Linked DNA regions of Schizosaccharomyces pombe. The protein of the gene in region 1 interacts with the protein of each later gene in a biochemical or structural test. Each region holds a gene or a part of one and is shown in the gene's direction. Other genes may lie near its edges.

Region 1 (3,759 bases):
ATTAATAGCTTTCAAAAGTTTTATATTTGCTATTCTAGATTTATTCTAGATACATTAACTTTTAATGATAAACTGAAGCAACCTATGTTTGATAAGAAAAAGTACAGACAAAGTCACTTTATGGGATCAAACTATGATGTAGAGTTAAACTAATAAATAAAATATAGAAAACTTTATCTTCCTAAAAATTGTGCAATATTCAATGGAATGGCTCAAGTCTAAACTCCGTTGGTCAAAGTTTAGTTAAAATGAAACATAAGCTTAGCAATTATTGATAAGTCACTGGAATATTAATTAAAGAGTCGTATACTTCTTGAATTATGTTTCGTCTTGTTTCTAAATCCGAAATCTTCGTAGGCGATTTTAGAGCTTTAGGAGACCACATGTAAATGTTCCCATTCATATCACCAGTAAAACACTGTTCAAAGTCAGGACGATAGGCAGCACAATTAATACGTTTTAAACTGTGGGTTGAAAGTCGGCGCACAAACGAGCCTTCTAACAAGTTCAATAAGGCAAGAGACCCATCATCGTTGGGGAATAACACAAAAACATCTGAATCCATAGAGGGTTGGATCATGCAAGGATGTACCGCGAAGGAAGTAGTCTGGTTATGAATAATAGGTCCAAATTCTCTCAATGTGTTTCTTCCACTTTCCATATTCCATACTCTTATTCGATCGTCGGTACCACAACTTGCCAAATATCGAGCATCTGAAGTCCAAGCTAATCCATTAACGGTGCCGTAATGAGATATATTTGTCTGGTTACTGGGTAAATACTTATTATGTAGATCCATACATGCGAAGCTGGATGATACTTTACGAATGTCCCAAAGTCTGCAAGTGCCATCTGCAGAGCCGGACGCTAACACGAATTCATTCTTAGGACACCAATCCACCGCAAGGACATTACCCGTGTGTCCAGACAAACTATGAGTATAACTACCACTTTGCATATCACAAAGCCGAATAGACGAAGACCGGTAGGCGGCTATCGTTAGATGAACAATCTCAAGAATGAAGAATATAACGTACTGGCAATTAAACAATGTGATGCAATGGGCGACCATGCATGTGAATAAATCATGTCCTCCATAGTAAAAGTGTAAGCTTCCTACCAATATTAGAACATTGGTTAATTTGCGATTTCTACTTTTATTACCTGTAAAGTAGAAACATCCCAAACCTTGAGCGTATGATCGAACGACGAGCTAGTAAAAATACCATTATCAAACGGAAACCAATGCAAATCTGTTATTCCAAACTTATGACTCGTTCGACTAAAACACCGCAAGTTAGCTATTGATCACTAGTGTATATATTGAAATTGTCATAAACTAGGTAGAAAATGAATGCTTACGCAGGAACTGCATTTAAGGTATCCAAAATTAAATCTTCATCTTCCTTTTGGTCAATATTTTGTAGGTCCCAAACATTGATAGACGAGTTGGCTCCTCCAGAGACCATGCTGTCAATAGAAATTGTTAACCAAAAATTGAAAGCTTTGATAAATCAACGATATAGGTCATACAGCTGATGAATTGTATTATCAATGCTTAGTGCATTTACGGATCCTAAAATGCCCGCACCGTGTCTACGTTTAATTTTCACATCCGGATTCAGCGCTAACCGTTGAAGACGATGCTGCAGTAGTTGCCTTCGAAAAGAGCTATTTGGCTCTACAAATGTGAGACTTGAAATCCTTATATCACATAATCAATTGCATTACCTTGGCCCCATTCTCGTGCCAATAAAAAAGAATTCATTCGATTTCACCTAAGAAATAGACTCAGATGCTACAGTAAGCAACTGACAGCTTAAAACAACCCGGTTTTTAAACCATGTATAACAAATTAAGTCTAAATAAAATTACAGCTAGTTTAATATGAGCGGTAAATAATACTGTCAATTAATCAACTTCTATGTTTAAATAGCAAACTCAAAGGTAGTTTCCAGGAAACAATAATAAAAAAATATGTTTTTCGACGTTGGCTAGACGCACTACTAATAACGGTCGTGGTGTACGAGATGGTATTGGCAGACGGTTTATAGAACTCAACCTCAACCATATGTCAGTTATTGAAATTAGATCGTACCAGCACTGGATCTCAACGATCCCTAAGTCCGGATATCTTGCAGTTGATTGCTATGCCGATTGGTGTGGTCCTTGCAAAGCAATTTCTCCCTTATTTTCACAATTAGCATCGAAATATGCTAGCCCCAAATTCGTTTTTGCTAAAGTAAATGTAGACGAGCAACGTCAAATTGCCTCCGGGCTTGGCGTCAAAGCAATGTATGTGTTTACCTAATCCGTCACTGTACCATTGGTTTTGCTAACATTTTAGGCCTACATTTGTTTTCTTTGAAAATGGCAAACAAATTGATATGCTAACTGGAGCAAACCCACAAGCTTTGAAGGAAAAAGTTGCTTTGATTTCCTCAAAAGCCACAGGAACTGGCGCTCTTGCTTCTTCGTCATCGGCACCTGTCAAGGGTTTTGCTAGCTTGCAAGGCTGCATTGAAAATCCCCAATTGGAATGTCTAAATCAACAAGATGATCACGATTTGAAAAGTGCATTTAACAGTAATCCTTCCTCATTTTTAGAGTCGGATGTTGACGAGCAATTAATGATATACATACCTTTTCTTGAAGTGGTAAAGGTTCATTCTATTGCAATTACTCCTGTTAAGGGAGAAACTTCGAGTGCTCCAAAAACCATCAAATTGTACATCAATCAGCCCAACAATCTTTCTTTTGAAGATGCTGAGTCATTTACTCCAACTCAAGTCATTGAGGATATAGTTTACGAACAAGACGATCAACCTACAATTATTCCCCTTCGTTTTGTTAAATTTCAACGTGTCAATTCTCTCGTTATTTTTATTTATTCGAATGTCGGAGAAGAAGAAACTACTAAGATTTCTCGCTTAGAATTATTTGGTGAGCCTGTTGGTGATTCAAGTAAAGGAAAACTACAAAAGGTCGAAGCTTAGGTGCTTAACAATTTGTTAACTAAAATCATGACGGTTTACGAATTTACCTTTATGAAAATCTAGTTTCGTATACATTACTCGACCAATCTGGTGTCTTGATACCAAAGAATACTACAAACCTTTCATTTGAGCATTGTAATTGCTGACTACTCACGAAATGGGAATATAAATGGATAATCTAATTTATATAGAATAAAGATTTTCTAAGCGGTAACGTTTGATAAATAAAATGAATGTTTTTTAATTTTGTCTCACGTAGAGGAAATTTTGTGAGAAATCCAAAAATTCCACATATTAACACTATGATGACCTTTCCCAAAGCTGAATAAAACTTTCGCCTAAACGAATCATATCGCTACTGATTTCTTCAACATATAAGTCTTGAATTTGATACCATTTATTGGTAGAGGGGTTTCGAATTTGAATTCGGAAGTTATGAAATTCTTCTTCAGCATGTGTCACGGACTCATGTATAATATTAGCAACGAGGTTGTATTTCGTAGAGATTTTCGGATTTGACTGGATAAATGAGTCATCAATAAATGGGCTCATATCAAAATCATCCAAAGGAAATGTCACTATAGTTTGGTTTCTTTCCGTAAAGTAATTGTTTTTCATAAATCTTTTGATGTGAAATATAAAGTATGGAGGAGCCGTCATTAAATGAAAACGCCGTCGCATACCTGCAAGTTCTTGGGTATGTACCCCATTATATTTGTTAAGTATCTCTTTTAATTCTACTTGTGGGATGATATTACCTTCA
Region 2 (3,759 bases), 2.1 Mb from region 1:
ATTGCATATGCTTACTTTCTGAGAGTGGAGGAGACGGACTCTGCTACCCAACAAATTATGGAGACATTTCCCCAAAACTGGGTTGGAGATTACCAAGGTCTTCAGATTTTAATATTAAAAGGTTTCCGTTCAACTAATTCTTTTGAAATTACCATGAATTTTTTCCTTTTGCTGATGGATTTCAAGGATAATGATTTGGTTGGCGTTGGTTATTTGAGGATACTATCCTGCTTGTTGGTGTCATTACCAGCGATGGTATATACATACGAGCATTCAGATCCTATTACTTTTGATTTAAGTGTTTTCTGTCATAAATTAGCTACTCTTGCTTCACAATTTAACGATGATGCATTGATTGAGCTTCTTGACACATATCTCAAACGTAAATTCAGGTCAATTAAGGATTTTTTAAAACATACGGTTTCATACCTATACTCCTATTATTTTGAAGATTACGAGCTAGAAATTGTTAGTACTCTTACGATGTTTCTATCAAATAATTTGACTTGGTTTAGAAAGTCTACGTTAGATGTGTTAAAAGAACTCTTTCCATTAATTGATTTCCAAAAACCTATATATTCCGAACATGGATTAGGTATTGTTTCACCGCTTCTTCGACTCTTACCTACTGGTTATGCAATGGAAGCGTTGTCTTTGCTAACCGACTCAGTGCTTCATGTATCTGCTCCCACAGATATGCAAACCTTAAAGTTATTAATGGTTGACCCTAAATTAAAAAATTCAGATGATCGTCTGGCTGGATTTTTTGAAATACCTGACGAGGATGGATGGTATGAACCAAACTCTGAATATGCAGCTGCTATAACTAAAAGCAACGTACATGCCGTATTTTATAGCTGTTCCACTACCGAGGCTTCTGTGAGTACGCCAGAGGTTAGATTTCATGCTGATGAAGTATCCAATTATCCGCGACACGTTCCTACTGACAGTCATGGTTCGCTTGACGAAAATTCACTAGGAGAGCTAGTTACAACTCTTCATAGCCTCGATGTCTTCTTCGCTGAAGATAGGGATGAAGAGTTAATTCAGCCTGATGTCGCCGTTGATCCAAAATTAGATATTACATCGGAAGATTATGACGATCGGATAGCTACGATTCTTTCAGGTAGCCTTAGACGGCAGAAACAAGGTCTTATGGCTTATGAAACAGAATCCTTCAGAGATTATTCACCGAACGAAGAAATTGATGCATCAGCAAAATTGCCGATGGACATGCCGCCGGTGAGAGTAAGAAAGTCGTCTTTTATCTCTAAATTAAAACCTCATTACTTTATGGATGCTGAATCTTATTATCCTTCTTTAAAGGCACTTGGTAATTCGGCGGAACATCGTTTATCTTTGGACGAAATACGAGGTGCAGCAGAATTGAAACAAAATAAAAATTGGAATTCCATGTTAGATCAATCTGTTTCTATGATTAATGAAGATTCAGTGGAAGACCATGAAACTCATGAAAATTATTATCATTTACGTACAATGTTTCAAGGAAGTGAAAGCAATGAATCTTTTACTGATACAACTCGATCCCGCGGTTGGCATTGAATTTGCCTATACTGGTTTAGTATACTTATACAAGCTTTTATGGTGTTCATGTGTGTAAGATGGAAAATTAGTCGGCAACGTTTATGGATGTACTATATAAAACTATTCGTTTGTTTTCATTATTTTATCATTTGCATTTTTTTGTTAATTTAAACTCGAAAATTCTTTGACCATTACAGCCTTTAATTTTAGAATTCAAAATCTTAGAGCGTGTCATGTTATTAAAAATCAAGCTATAACTATGGTAATTAGGTGTAGTGATATAAATCGGTTTCATATGTCCGTATTTAAACAAATGAAAACATAAAGAGTCAATCAATAACGAGTTATTTTACAACAATTCTTATAAGAAAAGAGGCATGAGATAATAATGTCAAGCATCGTGTAATAATGGTAATACATTGACGAACTTAAATAATAGATTATTTTTTCATTTGTACTGATCCATAAAGAAAGCATAGCGTGTTGTTAAATCTAATTAACGTGATAAATAATCAAATACGTAAACAATCGGTATACTGGTTCTGACTAGGGTGAGAGTAGTTTCAACGACAACACATTACTACTCAGTTTCAGAAAATCTTAGGAATCTAGAAAATGAGTTCTAAAGACATTAGTTCGAAGTCCCCGAGTGGTAATGATGCATTAAATGACAAAAAAGGGACAAAGACTTCAGAAACTAATGACAGAAACTCAACGAACAATACCAAAGAAAGGGATGAATTAGAGGATTTAGTAAGTTAAAGCCCTATTATTTTTCAAAATGAAAACTAACCAAATAGTCTGAAGAAGATTTACAATTAAAAAATGATTTGGAATTATTAGTTCAAGCTGTTCAAGATGCCACCCCTGAGTTGGTGGGTTCCAGTCTCACTCAGCTTAAAGAAATAATTCGTACTTCTACCTCCTCTATGACGGCCGTTCCAAAGCCTTTGAAGTTTCTTAGACCACATTATTTTACTCTCGTTAAAATCTATGATTCCTGGCCGCAAAGCCCTCAGAAGACTCAACTTGCTGATATCCTTTCAGTATTAGGAATGTCCTATAGTAATACAAGCAAACATGAATCATTAAAATATCGTCTTCAGGGCGTTACCACTGATCCTTCTTTATGGGGTCATGAGTATGTTCGCCATTTGGCTTCCGAAATAGAAGAAGAGTTTGCCAGTCGCCAGGAAGAGGAAGCGCCAACCGACGATCTTATGGAACTTGCATTGACCATTGTTCCATTCTTCCTTACTCATAATGCTGAGGCTGATGCTATTGATTTATTACAAGAATTGGGTGCTATTGAAAAAGTTGTACCCTTCGTAGAACTTGATAATGCTTCTCGCGTTTGTCTTTATATTACCAGTTGCGTTAATCTTTTGCCATTTCCTGAAGATGTCGCCATGTTAAGAACAGCGCATGCTATTTATCGGAAGTTTGACCAGCTTACACAAGCACTTAACGTTGCTATCCGCCTTGATGATATGTCTTTGATAAAAGAAGACTGTGAAGCTGCTACGGATCCCTTGTTGAAAAAGCAAATGTCTTACATGCTTGCTCGTCAGCAAATACCTATGGATATGGGAGACGAGGAGTTAAACGATGCTTTAAATAACACTCATTTATCTGATCACTTTCATTATCTAGGAAAGGAGTTGAACCTTATGGATCCTAAAGTTCCGGAAGATATCTTTAAAACACATTTAGAAGTGGCTAGGACTGGATTGGGTGCATCAGGAGTGTATTCCGCCAAACAAAATTTAGCTAACACTTTTGTCAATGCCCTTGTCAATGCCGGATACAGTAACGACAGATTAATTTTGGTCGATGACGAAAAAACGTCTTGGATTTATAAAAATAAAGAATCTGGTTTAATAAGTGCTACAGCTTCTATTGGCCTATTACAATTATGGAATGTTGACATGGGATTGTCTTTGTTGGATAAGTATTTATACTCTTCTGAGGAGAATACCAAGGCTGGTGCATTGTTGGGAATTGGTGTTACAAATGTTGCAGTAAGAAATGAAGCTGATCCAGCTATGGCAATTCTTTCTGAATACCTTGAAACTGGCTCCGTAAAGCTTCGTGCATCAGCGATTTTAGGTTTAGGACTTGCATACAGTGGAGCTAATCGCGAAGATTTACTCGACATGTTATCTCCAATTGTTACGGATACCGATTGCCCTATGCAATTATCCTGCTTAGCCG
Region 3 (3,759 bases), on another chromosome or scaffold:
ACCGATTCTCTATAGCTTTAAAGAGTTTCTTGTCAGAATTTGTACTCTATAAAATTGTTAGCACATTTTATATATCAGTATATTCATGTCTTGGTAAGTTAATAAAGCAGAATGCTCCCGAATCTAAAAACAGACACTCAGACGCGGTACTCCATTTGGTAAACAACAATCGTAATCATTTTGGTTTCAGATTTGAAACGTAAAGAAACTAAATAAATAATCACAAAAAAAAACAATGATTATATAATTAGCTGATCTTGTACAAGAGACCAAAAAGAACCAAAATTGTTCAACTTAGTGATTTGACCACGCAAGAAAAGAGGATCATTATTAAAAGCATATGTCAAATTCAAGAACCAATGTACAATTTTCCCTTTACCAGACTAACCAAGCTTACAAGTTAAATTTACCTTGGTTGTATAGAGCTCGCACTTTCCGCGTATGCGACAATCATCGGCATCAAATGATAAGGCATTATTGACTGTATCTAAATCGGCAAGCTCAAGAAACTGGTCACAAAAACAGGGTTTAGTAAGACAAATAAAAAGTAAAATATATTTACCTTCATAGTAATTGTAATGTAATCAATTCAATTGTTTCCTTTCATTAAAAAGAGGTTTGCTGTGGTTAGGTATCAGCGTCGCGTCCAACGTCAATGTCACTTCTATTAAGGGTACGTTAATCTTAAATAACAGACTATAAGCTAATAGTAAGCGTAAGGAGTTTGTTAGATGTCGGTTCAACATTTTACCGAAGCTTAATATATTTGAGAAACCATCCCGATGCATTGCCATTTATTTTTTTATGCTGTTTTAAGGTACTTAACCGTATAATGTGTTAAAGTCCAAGTCGAAATGCATTTATTTATTCATAAAAATAAATATTTTAAGTAATTAAAAGGAGTCTAATAAAAACAAATCAGTTTAAAAATATCGATTATAAGTTTTTCCGTATTTTTCTGATGAGCATTGAGTAACTCAATTTTTCAATATTCAATTTTTTCTACAATTCTTAAAAGAAACGGTTCAAGTATCATTATTAACCAAAAAAAAAGTAATAATAATTTATTTAATGAATAATCGTCGCTTCTAGAGTATACTTGTACAATGAAATTGTACATATATATACATATTTTTTTTAAATTGAGCCCATTAATAAACTTGCACAACATACATCAATTCTTTTATTGTATTACTTATTACACTTTTACTATTAAATTATATTTATTTTATTTTATTTTTAAATTCAATTCCTAGTGTAAAATGTATTAAACTGTTTCACCTCTTATCGTACAGTTCAAACATTTTGCTTACACCAACTTACCTTTACCAAGAACTATGGACTACGTTGGTGGTTCTCTAAAACTGAAAAATGTAAAAAAAAAACCTTTGAAAAAGAAAAAGAAGGATTCTAAAAAACTTGCTGAAAAAGTTCAAGAGCATTCTTCCCGAGATAAATCACCTTTAGAAGAAAATGGCGTATCTACGTACCAAATGCTTCGCTCAAAGGATACAGACTCGGCTATGCCGATGACGGAAGCACAGAAACATTTTGAGTCTGTTCAGGAACAAAGATTACTTCAGAAAGCAAAGAATGAGCGATTGAAAACACATAAAGACAGGATTGATGAGTATAATAGACTACTGGAAAGTCAGTCGGAGCATTTTGACATGCCTAAAATTGGACCCGGCTAGTTTTCAAAACACGTCCTTTTTTCTCTCAATAGCTATACTTAAATAGCAATGGATGCCTCCTCTATTCTGCATAGTTTTTCTCCATCCACCTACCATATTCTTTTATGAATTACGCACTCTAATGAAATCACTATTTTATTTTAACAATACGCATTATACCTCATTATTGTTATAGCTATTCATTTGTCTCTAGAAAAAACCTGTTTATAGCCAACTACCACGTAAACGTATACTAGCTGCCTAAGTGAGACCAAAGACATAGAATCTTGTATATTCGTTTTGTATAGTGGTTGAAACATATAGAAAGAACTTCCTTTGAAGAACAAGCACATTATAGTGACCTTTGATTGTTTTTGTCGTCTTACTAAATATCAGTGAACAGCATTAACGTTTTGGTAACTTTATTTAAATACTTATACTGAGTTTCTCATTTAATCTCCAATTACACTTTTATTTGCGGTTATTTGAGAGGAACCCCACTGATACTGATAAACTCTCATATTTCAATACATACATACGAGTCATATTTTTCGCGATGGAATCTTTACAAAGATTGTTACAAGGTGCCCGCATGGGTACTGGTATGATGGGAGATCAGCCTCTTGTTGATAATTCCGAGTGTGTATACATTTCATCTCTAGCTTTGTTAAAAATGCTTCGTCATGGGCGACATGGTACACCAATGGAAGTTATGGGTTTGATGTTAGGAGAATTCGTTGATGACTTTACAGTACGTGTTGTTGATGTTTTTGCAATGCCTCAATCTGGTACAGGTGTCAGTGTAGAAGCAGTCGATCCAGTTTTCCAAAAAAATATGATGGATATGCTTAAGCAAACAGGACGGCCAGAAATGGTTGTAGGTTGGTATCATTCTCACCCGGGTTTTGGTTGTTGGCTTTCTAGTGTCGATATCAACACCCAACAATCATTTGAGCAATTAACACCAAGAGCGGTGGCAGTTGTTGTCGACCCTATTCAATCTGTCAAAGGAAAGGTGGTAATTGACGCCTTTCGATTGATTAATCCGTCTACCCTAATGATGGGTCAGGAACCCAGACAAACAACTTCCAATTTGGGTCACATCAACAAACCTAGCATTCAAGCTTTAATTCACGGTTTAGGAAGACATTACTACTCCCTTCGCATCAATTACAAAAAAACTGAGCTTGAAGAGATCATGCTTTTGAATTTACACAAACAGCCTTGGGCACATGGTCTTTTACTTGAAAACTTTAATTCTGCTGCGGAAAAAAATCATGCTTCTATTGATAAGATGAAATCCTTGTCAGAACAGTACACTGAACGTGTTCAAAATGAAGTGACTTTAAGTCCGGAGCAACTTCGTATTCAATACGTTGGTAAACAAGATCCCAAGAAGCATCTTGACGCTGAGGTTCAGAAATGTATAGACAACAATATTTCTTCCATGTTAGCTTGTATGCTTGATTCCGTTGCCTTCTAGTACATCTATTTTGGTAATACCTCTTTTCCATCATCCGTTTTTTATGAGCTACTTTCTTTCCTTACTCAAAGCATTTATGAACTGTTTGAATAATCCTGTTGGTCGAATCTGATACTACTTTTTTACGATTTCATATTCGTGACTAGGAGTACATTTTTTTTAAAACTTTTTACATGATCGTGGAGTATGATTGATGATATTTTGGTAAGCTCTTGAGATTGCGAGCGTTTGCTTTGATGGATTCTTATATATTTTTTTTCATAGATCCTTAAGATATACCTGCACACCAGTCTTTCAAGCTTCTTCCCAATAAGAAAAAATTGTTTCAATTATTGAATTTGTAAACATCTTCTACCAACATGTTAAAAATTTTGTTTCCTTGATTGTTTGTAATGTACCTGTAAGGATCGTCGATCAGCGTCAAACCATTGAAGTTGAATACATAAAGGTATAACTGAGGCTACTTAATTTATTATATGACATTTTAGCGTGATATGATTTTTTGATGTAGCATGATATTGTACTTGTCAAGTATTCCTATCTATCTTTCAACCTTTGCCAACCACTAACGTATGTTGGTTTACGGAATCAACAAACAATTGT

The links.
Region 2: the proteins of txl1 (region 1) and mts4 form a complex in vitro, tested with the Schizosaccharomyces pombe proteins (one study listed by BioGRID).
Region 3: the proteins of txl1 (region 1) and rpn11 form a complex in vitro, tested with the Schizosaccharomyces pombe proteins (one study listed by BioGRID).

The regions. Positions count from the first base shown.
Region 1 is NC_003423.3:765,791-769,549, reverse strand, and holds txl1 (thioredoxin-1-like protein Txl1), read left to right. Parts: upstream 1-2,059; 5' UTR 2,060-2,071; coding exon 2,072-2,295; intron 2,296-2,347; coding exon 2,348-2,996; 3' UTR 2,997-3,198; downstream 3,199-3,759. Other genes in the region: DNA repair ERCC8 family protein ckn1, read right to left, coding at 269-993, 1,038-1,116, 1,165-1,282, 1,363-1,470, 1,534-1,681, 1,732-1,768; ubiquitin C-terminal hydrolase Ubp10, read right to left, coding at 3,297-3,759. UniProt on the Schizosaccharomyces pombe protein: Has a role in cellular detoxification of alkyl hydroperoxide.
Region 2 is NC_003423.3:2,852,454-2,856,212, reverse strand, and holds the start of mts4 (19S proteasome regulatory subunit Rpn1/Mts4), read left to right. Parts: upstream 1-2,110; 5' UTR 2,111-2,160; coding exon 2,161-2,298; exon of another isoform or gene 2,299-2,345; coding exon 2,346-3,759. Other genes in the region: morphogenesis protein Mor2, read left to right, coding at 1-1,563. UniProt on the Schizosaccharomyces pombe protein: Acts as a regulatory subunit of the 26 proteasome which is involved in the ATP-dependent degradation of ubiquitinated proteins.
Region 3 is NC_003424.3:3,008,750-3,012,508, forward strand, and holds rpn11 (19S proteasome regulatory subunit, ubiquitin-specific protease subunit Rpn11), read left to right. Parts: upstream 1-1,896; 5' UTR 1,897-2,229; coding exon 2,230-3,156; 3' UTR 3,157-3,558; downstream 3,559-3,759. Other genes in the region: RNA polymerase III-inhibiting protein Maf1, read right to left, coding at 1-46, 411-509, 563-568; SPOM_SPAC31G5.21 (FAM32A family protein), read left to right, coding at 1,338-1,694. UniProt on the Schizosaccharomyces pombe protein: Acts as a regulatory subunit of the 26 proteasome which is involved in the ATP-dependent degradation of ubiquitinated proteins.